Coturnix japonica: one gene and its partners. The protein of the gene in region 1 purifies or fractionates together with the protein of each later gene. This does not show direct contact. Links are inferred from orthologs where the notes say so. Each region holds a gene or a part of one and is shown on either strand. Other genes may lie near its edges. The genes, in order: KIFAP3, KIF3C and KIF3B.

Region 1 (3,649 bases):
TATTTTGAGAATTACTTTTTAAATGCTATGGAGATACTGCATATTAATTTTCTCACAGTAACTGCAAATAAAGCTGACTGATTTCAGTGGTTTTGTTTGTCTTATTAATACTCCTGCAAATCCATCCAGAGTCAGAGTTTTGTGACTCATGCTTCATAGCAAAGGACTGGACACTTGTATGGAAAATTCAAAAGCCACACGCACATACACAGCTATGCAGGAGTTTGAAAAGGAAATAAAACCACAAGCTTGAATGCGTAAGCCAACCCCTAGTTGTTGAAGGCTATGAAGACATTAATCCAGTGGGTAACTTATTTCATGAGATCTCCCTGCAGGCTGATACTGTACCTGAAAGGGTTGGCAAAAGCAACCCCTGGAGGGAGGACACAAATCCCCAGCAAATATGCATCAGCACTGCTCCCACTGACACACAGAGACAGTTTTACCACTGCTCTGAGCATTCTTCCTACAGCAACAGGCCAGATCCTGGTTTCAAATACAAAGAGAGGCAGCTATCCCTGCGCTGAATACCAACGTGTGCTCTTACCTGCGTTGTAGTAGAGATCAGGTCTTTCCAGAATATCTCCTTCATGGATGTAGGGCTCAATAGGATCGTCCCCATACAGATACTGCTCACTGTCATCCATCTGCCGACTCTCCACCATCTCCAGCCACTGAGAGTTGTGCCATCGAAATTTCTCACTCTGGATTTTTTTCGCCCATTCCTCATCATATTCCTGTTAGTAAAAAAAAAAAAAAACCAAACCAAAAATGACCACACAAGAGGCTGCGATGAAGAATAGACAAAGACCTGTTTGGTTTAACAGGAAATAGCAGAGGAATTTAACATCAGCAAAAGATTCAAGTTTCAGCACTCACTGACTTAAATCTTTTAAGTGTGTAGAACGCTTTGAGCAATAAAGGCAATATTTTCCAAACACCAGGCCTCGCTCTGGTTTTGTACGTGCAGCAGCAGTACAATCTTCCCTTCACGGTCTGTAACTCTGCACTGCCCAGAAAACTCTCCTGCTTTGAGCAAGGGAGTTCAATCATCATGGTCTCCCCACCTGGACCATCAGGAAGAGCCTATTACAGCCAATTTTCAGAGGGTCTGCAGGAATAAAACACTAACACTGGCCAAATACTGTTTGATCTCATTAGACAAGCATTCATTACAGAATCATAGAATGCTTTGGGTTGGAAGGGAGACCTTTATGATCATGTAGTTCCAACCCTCCTGCTAGGCAGGGACGCTTCCCACCAGCCCACGCTGCTCACAGCCCCATCCATTGAGCCTCACCTTGAATGCTGCCAGGGAGGGGGCATCCACAACCCCTCTGAGCAACCTGTTCTAATTACTCAAAAAGAACAAAAAGGGTAGTGATAAAACCAGTTAAGCCTTTGTTTCATGAGCACCTGAAAAACAGGATTTAGTTCTCAGCTTCCTGACAAACTTCAAAACAAATTGCTACTTTTAATATTGAACACCCACAAAATTGGCACACAACATTCATGAATACAGGAAGCAAAGACAAAGTCAGAGAAGAACTTCTCCAGAATGCTGAGGGAAGCAGGATATAGGTATAGACTACTATGGAAACAAAAGGTAGTCACGAAATTTTGGGCTGGAATAACTGCACTCTCTGATGATGTGATATTCAGTGTAAAGGAATATCAGAAGGAAAAGTCACAGCAGTCAGTGCAATCAGCTGTTTAGAAGGCTCCTCTAAGCAAAACAGACTGCCTGGGCTGTTGTTTACCTATAGACACATGTGAACATATTAAAGTTGCAGGTATTATCAGTTTAAGAAGATGCACAAATAATGCACAGTGGCTATTACCTTCTTTTAATCAAAGAATTGTGACCGAGAACAACATTCATAACCAACAAAGCATTTCTATTTGTGGGAAGAAACACCCTGTAAGGCAGGTCTCAGCACTTCCACCTCACTGTCTTCTAACTGAACTCCAAAACAGGCAGAAATTGAAAACCATTTCTTACCTCAAGATAGTTAACATATGCTCTAGACAGGCTGCCCTCTGAGATCTACCTGGAGCACTTTAAGGTTTTTAAAATCCATTTTACTTAGCCCAGAAGGGAAGATTGTTCATACAATTAACAACATCTTGGCTGCAGAAGTAGTAACTTCTTAAACTGCTCCAGCTAGACATGCAAAAGCAGATCTGTCTACAACCCGAGGTCAAAAAATAGCAGTGAAGACAGAATAAGTTGGTTTAGTAGCTTGGGGGTTAAACTTCTAAAAGCCCTATGGACTGAATTTGAGCTTTTAAACTTACTTGTCAGGATACCTTGTCTTCACTGCTGTTAACCTGACGTGGGTACCACACTGTCTATCTAGCCTTTGCCTTTTCCACCCTTCTGACTGCTGATAACACACACACAAAAAAAAACCAAGCTGGTTCAGTCCTTCTGGCAGAGGATACCCCAACTCTGCTAACCAGCCTATCTCAAGCCTCCAAGATTCCACAAGGAATCACGTTGCATTGTACAACCACAAACCATTATGCTATGGCAGTGGGTCTTAAAACCGTTTTACTTGGAGGAACAAGAAGTTTGTTTCTCCTGGCTTAGAGCAGGAGGTGAATTCCTTTTTGATGGGACATCCATGCACGCTGCAAATCTGGGGCCATGATCAGTCTGTGGTATCATTCCCTATTTCTTAGAATCCGTGTCTGATCAGCAGCGGTTATGTGATCTTAGTAGTTCCCTTCTGCACCATCCAGGCACTCAGGCAGTTCTGTTCAACACCTGCTCTCATGCACAGCGCCCACGCACAGAACAAGCATCACCTGTGGGATCAATGGAGGCTCCCAGTCCCTGTTAGCCTGCAGCAAAATTCCAAGCTCCTGTCAACCGTACAGTAATGCGGTGTCCTTAGGGAGGAAAACAAAGCAACCAACCTCACACCTCACACCGTGTGGAAAAAGAACACCTCATGCTGTTTCTGCTTCTTGATATTTCCCCACACACACTTCAGCTCTCAATTAAATGGAAATCCCAGAGCAATCCCTGGGAAAGGAAGGCTCAGCATCAATGCCTATAAAATGATCCAGGGAAAGAAAGAATGAAAGCAGGACTTTCAGTGCCACCTGACAAGCCATCTTGGGAACATCTACTTTGCTGCATCTGCCAGAGCTAAAACGTGGACTATTATATCAGCTCCCAGCAGTTGTGAATTACTTACAAGCTTTAGAGAAACACCTTGTAACTGCCAGAGATCACACTGTAGTCTTAGCAAAACTATTCTCAGAAATCACAATTGCAAAGGGGTGGAAGAAAGAAAGAAACCAAACAAACAGTAAATTAGATTAATCCACGGGAAAGCTGAATTCCTTTCACATTACCTTGTTTACTTCTAAAAGTTCCCGAAAGCAGAAAGGGCAGTAGCTGCATCTCTACTTCACATTTACCATCACAGAGCTTTGAAAACGGGTTAACCTCCCAGAAATTACAACACAAAGGAATCCCATTTAGCCAACCCCACTGCCCCATTCCATGCTACCGTTCAAACTGGTTGGACGTTCCCCCACAAATAGACATTAACTTCGTATCCTTCTGGAAACAAAACAGTTAACACCACTTTTTTTTTAGAAAGCAACAAGACTGAACACTCCTATGCGTTCTACA
Region 2 (3,649 bases), on another chromosome or scaffold:
AAGTCCTGGTGTCGGGGGTCCTGGGGTTGGGGGTCCTGGGATTATGGGGTCCTGGGGCCATCACTCCTGTGCCGGTGTCACAGAGGTGCGTGGGGAGCCAGCAGCGAGGGACACGTGTGTAGTGGAGGATGGCAGCGACCGTGGTGTCTGGCACCTGGGGGTGGCACAAGAAGAAAAAGAAATGCTTTCCTTCTGCTTCCTCTTTCCTGATCTCCGCCCCCGAATCCTGCTGTTTTCTCAGTGACTTGCTATGTAGGCAGCACTGATGGAAATCCAGTGCTGAGCAGCACTGGATGTTGTATATAACCATCCTGGGCATATGTACATGGTGATATACCGTATCATCAACCTGTTTTTCAGAGAGCCAGAGAACAAGTCCAACCCCAACCCATCCCACCGTGCCACTGCCCTCTTAGTGCCACATCTCCATGGTCCTGGAACACCTCCAGGGATGGCAGCCTGTGCCAGTAGAACAGAATCCCAGAATCCCTGAGTGCTTTGAGTTGGAAGGGACCTGAAGGCCCATCCTTGGAAGGAACCTGAAGGCCCACCCAGCCTGAACCCCTACCTTGAACCCCAAACCTGTCTCCAACTAAAGACAGGGAACACTTCCAGGCTGCCCTGCACTCTTGCAGCTTCCCCTCGGCTGCAGTGTCTTCAACCCAGCACTGTCCCATATCCAGTGTCTCAGCCCCAGCGCCCAAATATCCACATGTTCACTCACCAGGAGCGGGACTTCCTCACCCGGGAGGCTGCTGGTCTCTCCAGGATGCTGTCCAGGTGCATCAGCCTCTCCAGGTGCAGAGCCCGTGGGTCCTGCTCGGCTGGGTCCCGGCTCCGCTCAAACTCAAACACTGCTGGAGGGGAGACGTCCAGCTCCAGGAACATGATGTTCTCAGCCTGCAGCATGATGGGGCAAAGGGAAAGTTAACACACGGAGTTACGGCACAGTAAAGCATGGCACCATCTCATGTAGGTCCACATGGCTGAGAGGCTGAATACACTGAGGGACAGAGATCTTCTGGCTGCAGCTGGTTTACCTAAATTATCTCCAGTCTTCATGAGCTTATTTACCCCACATTCTCTACAGCTGCCTGGAGCTGTCACCCATCTACCCAGCCATTAACCTCATTCATCCACTCACTCCATCCATCCGTACACACTGTCCATCCATCTGCCTTATCTATTCATCTATCCACTCCAGACATCCAACCATTCCACCCATCCATCCCATATTATTCATCCATCCAGCCATCCACTCATCTGCCTACCTGTCCCATTCATCCAGTCACCCCATCTACCCACCCCAGTCATTCATATACAGAACCATACAATGGTTTGGGTTGGAAGGGACCTTTAAGATCATCTCATATGCCAGCTATCCATCTACCCTACCCACACATCCATCCATCCATCCATCCATCCATCCATCCATCCATCCACACATCCACCTATCCCATCCATCTGTCCCATCCACCCATCCTGTCCACCCCAAATTTTTTTTTCATTTCCCCTTGAACCCCATCATTCCATACATCTCAACTACCCATCCATCCACCCATCCTGTCCACCCCATTATCCCATGAACCCTATCCTTCCATGCATCCCAACCACCATCTACCCATCCACCCATCCATCCATCCATCCATCCATCATGTCCGTATCCATCCATCCATCCAATCCATCCATCCATCCATCCATCCATCCATCCACCCACCTGTCCATACCATCCATCCATCCATCCATCCATCCATCCATCCACCATCCATCCACTCCATCCATCCCATGCACTCCATCCATCCATCCATCCATCCATCCATCCATCCATCCACCCAACCCACTCATTCATCTCATCCATCCTCCCCGCTGACCCACCACCACCTTGTCCCCCAGCACATACCAGCAGCGTCCCCTCCCTTACCCGATACCGTGGATGTGATCCCATGGCCATGGCCACACGGGCATACTGGCTGATGGGTCTCTTATACCCCACTGCAGATGTTGGCCTCTTCTTCATTTGGTTACTGTTCCTGAAAGAGAGGAACACCCATTAGGCAACATGAATGACAGCACTGAGCTCCCCGAGCACAGGATGGGACCCAATAGAACACCCTGGTGCCACCCGTGGGCACCTCCATCATTTCCCCATGTCCCATGGGTGGTGACACTGCACTGCCCAACCCAGTGATGTCCCCAGCCCTTGCCCATGCCCACACGCACCCGCCGGCCGGCACCAACGGTTGGAACTTCCACTGGTCCTCCTCGCAGTCAAAGTAGAGGCGGTTCATGATCTTGTTCTTCTCCTCTGGTGGGATGAAGTTCTCGATGATCAGGTACCTGAGTGAGGGACAGGCCAGGAGAGAGGAGTGGCAGGTGGGACAGAGTGGAAAGGAGGGAGGTAACAGGACAGGGCACAGCGAGTGGAGCAAAGGGAGTGGAGAGGAGAGGTCAGGAGAGGAGCCAGGACACAGAGAGCAGATGGGGGGTGAAAACATGAATGGGGAGGAGAGGAAGACAGAGCGGGCGGGTAGGGGCCATGGATCCAGCAGAGGCAGGAGAGAAAGGGCAGAGGAAGACTGTCATTCAGAGAGGAGCAGAAGAAACATCATCAGCTCTGCATGCTGCCTTCAGGGTGTAACCCCACGGTCCTGTCCTTAGCAACCCCCAGGCAGTGTCTGCAATGCATGGTCTGCAATGCAACCTGCAGCTGTTTGAAATACACAGTCTGAAATGAAACTAAAATACATTCTGTGATGTATGGCCTACAATCTGCAAGGCACAATTTACAATGAGTTTTGAAACACAGACTGCAAGACACAACTCGTAGTGCAGCTTGCACTGTTCGCAACCTTGCTTGCAATGCAGTTTGCAATGCATTTTGCACCGATTCACACAGGACCCCTCGGGAGCACCCCAAACCCAACCCCTTTGCTCAGTGGAATGGAAATCCAAACTGGCCCCACTGTTGCAGCAGCACAACACAGAAAGGTCTGCATGATCTCAGCCCACAGCAGAGCTGCCGGATGAGAAAATGAGAGGAAACACCTTAAAACTGACCCTGAAGGGATTTTTTTCCCCCCCTCTTTTTGCCACGTTGCTTTGGGGCAAATAAAGAAGCTGCAGAAAATGGTTTGGAATGGATGAGTTGCTGACTGAGGTTTTGCACGCTCTTAAAGCATTTTAATTACGTTCCAAAGGGTGTGGAGCAAAACTGGACACAAAATTGTGCTCCGAGCAGAATTTTAAATATTTTATCATGAAAACGTTAAAATATTTATACATGTCTGGGTTGGTTGTGGTAAGATAGTGAAGAGAATGACTGCCTCCTCCATAGGGATCTCCTGCAGGCCCCAGGTGAGAGGCTGGATGCTGTGAGTGGCACTGCTGGGGCTGGGGTGCGGGGCAGGGGGACCTCAGCCTCACTGCCCACCTGATGGGACACCAATGGCACCTACTTGAGCTTGAGCTCCCGTGTCTGCTCGTTCTGTGCCTCCTCCAGGTCCTGCCGCACACGGATGTACTCGTCGTGCTGGTCCTGGATCTCTGCCTTCACAGCCTGCAGCTTGGCGTAAAGCTGTACCCAGAGAGAGATGGCATCAGCCCTGGTGGCATGGGTGTCCCCAGGGAGTGGTGTAATGGGTGACCCCAG
Region 3 (3,749 bases), on another chromosome or scaffold:
ACAGATCAAAGTTGTCAGCTTGCAGCCAGAGGTGGCTCAGATCGATTTATATATTCTTGGCCAATCTGATCACTTCATTGGGAACTGTGTCTCTTCATTTACCGCGTTTGTAAAAAGAGAGCGTGATGTACATGGAAAACCCTCTTCATTTTTTGGCATGGATCACCCACCAAGGTTACGGGATGAATTCTGACCAAAAGAGAAACAGGCTCGATGGTTCTCAGGGCTCTGAGCCTGGTGAGGGACCCTGCTGGTGTTGACTGCTCTGTATGCAAGGCGTGTTTCCAGCCCTTGGATACTCTGTACCATCACTCTTCTGTCTGCCTTCACTCCTGTGATACCAGACAGAAAAGAAATTTGAAGCCAAGTAGTTTATGGGAAACTGTAAACTATGTAGTTTTTAAGATATAGTTTATATAGCTCTCCATCCTCTTTTTGGGGGAGGTTTGCCAACGATTATGAAGAAGCTGCTCATTTTTATTATTTTTTTTTCTCCCATTATTAATTTTATCTGGAAATGTCATTAAGCTTCTTATTGTCCACAACTGACCATAAGTTTCTTTTAAAGTGCAAGGTATATTCAGGAATATCATGATCCCTGTATAGGAGTGCAGGATGAAGCTTAAAACTGGAAATTATAAGGTCTGGGTTTTATTGAGTGCCACTAACTGGACCCACATCACCTCAGTACCTCCTTTTCCATTCCCTGTTAAGAGATGCAATACCCACCTACAGCAGTGCGGTGAGGAGCCTTTGTGGGGCGCAGTGATCTCAGTGGTGCTGTGTTTACATGTGGCCGTTGTCCTTTCACTGGACGCAGATGGGAAATCTCTCCCAGCCAGGCAGAGGTTGGAGATGTAGGACTTTGTAGCTGTTGGTAAAAGGTGGAGGTATGTGATAGAAGCAAAAGTTTTTAGGTCAGAAGCTCCGAAGTAGCTGCCCTGTGGGTCGGTGTAAATCTTCCCTGAGTCTTTATTAATGGATTTTTATACTTTGTGAAGATAGTCCCTCTGACAGCACAATTCCTGGCTGTAGGGCTCATTCCCAGCACGGCAAACTGGGAACAAACAGCAACAAGAAAACATGTGGGTGTACAAGGAAATCCATTCGGCACGGTGAAGTTCAGTGCTGGTCACCTGTGGTAACCCCAATTTGGCCAGTGTGTTTCCTTAGCACCAGCCAAAGGATGGGATTCCCAGGGCTCGGCTTCACATGAGAGCCTGGTGTGAGAGGAAGATAAGAGAAGAGATAAGCCCAAAGTGCTGCAGGGACACTGAGGTGCTCATTCCCAACCTCTGGGCCACGGGGCTGTTTTATAACAAACGTGTTATTTTTGTAATGATAATAAAATCTCGGTTTTGTACTCAGTTGAATGGCACTCACCTTCTTTTCTCCGGGTTTATCCGCTGCTCGGAGCTGTGGTACCGGGCCTTGTGTGGAGGGGCGGGAGCGTGTTGCTAAGGAAGTGAGCGGGGAGCGGCGGCCATTCCTACCGCTCCTCTTCCGGTGCCGCGGGAGGAGGCGGCCGCGGGGCTCCATGGTGACGGCGCAGGTGAGTGCGGCCCGGCCCGGTGGGCCCAGGTGTCCCCTTAGGGCCGGGATTGAGCTCGGGCCGAGCGGGCTGGAGGTGATAGAGGGAGCGAAGCGGGCTGGGCTGGGCCCCCCGTGCTTAGAATAGAGCAGGGAAGAACCGAAGGACAAAAGCGGCCCGAACGGGATGTGTCAGCACCGAGATCGGGGAGACTCGAGCCGTGAGGAGGCGGTTGGTGGGTTTGGGGGGTGTCTGTAGTGAGGTGAGAACTGATGGGACACGGGGCTGCGGGCCGGGATGGGCGCCGTGTGTTGGGCCCGGTACCGAGCGCTGCTGATGGCCGGGGTGATGCTCCCATCACATACAGCACTCCCTTATGGGAAGCTGCACGGAGTCACAGTGCTTGTAAGGGACCTCTGGAGATCGGCTGGGCCAACCCTGAAGGCTGGGTGCTTCTTAGGTGCAGCTTCTGTGATAGAGCAGTGATGTGTTGGCATTGCTGCACAGGGGGTTCTGGGGTCACTGTCCTTGGAGGCGTTCTGGAGCCATGGGGATGTGGAGATGTGGCATTCTGGAGCCATGGGGATGTGGCTCTGAGGGACGTGGTCAGTTGGCTCTGTGTCTTAAAGGTCTTCCTTAATGATTGGGGGTCTTAAAGGGGGTCTTAAAGGTCTTCCTTAATGATTTGCTATGCTCGGTTTGCTGCTTGTTGTGGTCATTTGGAGTCCACCTCCAAATGTGTTTGTTACACCCTGAGCTGTATCTGGGTTCTCAGAAAGTAGATGAGCTGTGCGTTCTTCTAAGTGACCTCTTCATTGTTGGTCGGTGTTGGAGTGCAGCTCACTGCAATGATGTACTCACCCAACTGGTTTGCTTGACCATATTTACAGACACAACAACTGTGCTACGTCTGGCTGCCTTAACAACTTGCTTTGTAGCCAGTTTGATTGCATGGCTGTGTGAAAACTCTGGTGTAAAAATCATTGTCTCTTGATTCTTGACAGAGCAGGAAAATAACAGCAGATTTCCCTGGTGTGGAAATACAACATTCAGGGGATGGGAAATGGGCAAACTATTTAGTGGTGTTATTTTGAATCCTCACAGCTGCTGTTGCCCATTGGAACATCCATTGTGCTGTAAGTAGGCTTCTAGAAAGCAACGTCACAAGTTTTAAGTCATGAAAGAGCTTTTGGGTGGCATTCCAATGCACTTCTGTTGCTTCAGGAAAATAATGGGTGTAGGTTGTAAGCCTGTAGTAGCAGGATGGTCCTGATGATGCACCACGTCACTTCATGTGTGAGTTAATAAAGGTCTCCTAAAAATGAGAGGTTTTCTCCAATACACTGGAGATGTAAAAAGGTCACTCAGAAAATACCACGTTGATATTTTGGTGGGTGGGTGAAACACTTCATCGCAGCACCTGATTGATTCCCTTTCAGTCTGTATTCCAGGCATTATGGAGGCAGCAACTCTGTACTGGATTTTCAAAGGAGGAGATTTACATCAAAAACTTACATGATACCAATTGGCAGACAGGCTTTGCCAATACTACTCTCTTAGCTCAGGCCTTTTTAAGGTTTTTATGTTGTACATAATTCTTCAAAATCCCCCAGAACATAAACAGGCAAAATTCTGCTTGAATAGATGAGCTGAATCTTTGACTATTGGCAAAATTGTCATCTGTAGAAAACTGCCATTGTTTATTCCTCCTTTGTTCTTGTTTTAGGCTTCTAGCACTGGATCATCTGTCGATCAGATCACGTCAGCCACAGACGTGCTGTCATGTCTAAGTTAAAGAGCTCTGAGTCTGTTCGGGTGGTGGTACGATGCCGGCCGATGAACAGCAAAGAGAAGACAGCTTCGTATGAGAAGGTTGTTAATGTGGATGTCAAATTAGGGCAGGTGTCGGTGAAGAATCCACGGGGAACATCTCATGAACTGCCTAAAACTTTCACTTTTGATGCTGTGTATGACTGGAATTCCAAACAGGTTGAACTCTATGATGAGACCTTCAGACCTCTTGTGGACTCTGTTCTGCAAGGTTTCAACGGGACAATCTTTGCTTATGGGCAGACTGGAACAGGGAAAACTTACACGATGGAGGGGGTGCGTGGTGATCCTGAAAAAAGAGGGGTCATCCCCAATTCTTTTGATCACATCTTCACCCACATCTCTAGATCTCAAAATCAGCAGTACCTAGTTAGAGCTTCTTATCTGG

Evidence for each region.
Region 2: the proteins of KIFAP3 (region 1) and KIF3C purify together in Homo sapiens (co-immunoprecipitation; 3 studies listed by BioGRID and IntAct, counting the BioPlex papers as one, with this or other methods). This does not show direct contact. The link is inferred for Coturnix japonica from reciprocal best matches to the Homo sapiens genes KIFAP3 and KIF3C.
Region 3: the proteins of KIFAP3 (region 1) and KIF3B purify together in Homo sapiens (co-immunoprecipitation; 7 studies listed by BioGRID and IntAct, counting the BioPlex papers as one, with this or other methods). This does not show direct contact. The link is inferred for Coturnix japonica from reciprocal best matches to the Homo sapiens genes KIFAP3 and KIF3B.

What each region holds. Positions count from the first base shown.
Region 1 is NC_029523.1:6,583,712-6,587,360, forward strand, and holds part of KIFAP3 (kinesin-associated protein 3), read right to left. Parts: intron 738-3,649; coding exon 548-737; intron 1-547. UniProt on the Homo sapiens protein: Involved in tethering the chromosomes to the spindle pole and in chromosome movement. Binds to the tail domain of the KIF3A/KIF3B heterodimer to form a heterotrimeric KIF3 complex and may regulate the membrane binding of this complex.
Region 2 is NC_029518.1:95,738,088-95,741,736, forward strand, and holds part of KIF3C (kinesin-like protein KIF3C), read right to left. Parts: intron 3,575-3,649; coding exon 3,456-3,574; intron 2,338-3,455; coding exon 2,221-2,337; intron 2,031-2,220; coding exon 1,922-2,030; intron 901-1,921; coding exon 725-900; intron 155-724; coding exon 61-154; 3' UTR 1-60.
Region 3 is NC_029535.1:8,902,578-8,906,326, reverse strand, and holds the start of KIF3B (kinesin-like protein KIF3B), read left to right. Parts: upstream 1-1,464; 5' UTR 1,465-1,552; intron 1,553-2,233; exon of another isoform or gene 2,234-2,667; intron 2,668-2,725; exon of another isoform or gene 2,726-2,827; intron 2,828-3,257; 5' UTR 3,258-3,313; coding exon 3,314-3,749. Other genes in the region: POFUT1 (GDP-fucose protein O-fucosyltransferase 1), read left to right, coding at 5-193. UniProt on the Homo sapiens protein: Microtubule-based molecular motor that transport intracellular cargos, such as vesicles, organelles and protein complexes. Uses ATP hydrolysis to generate force to bind and move along the microtubule. Plays a role in cilia formation.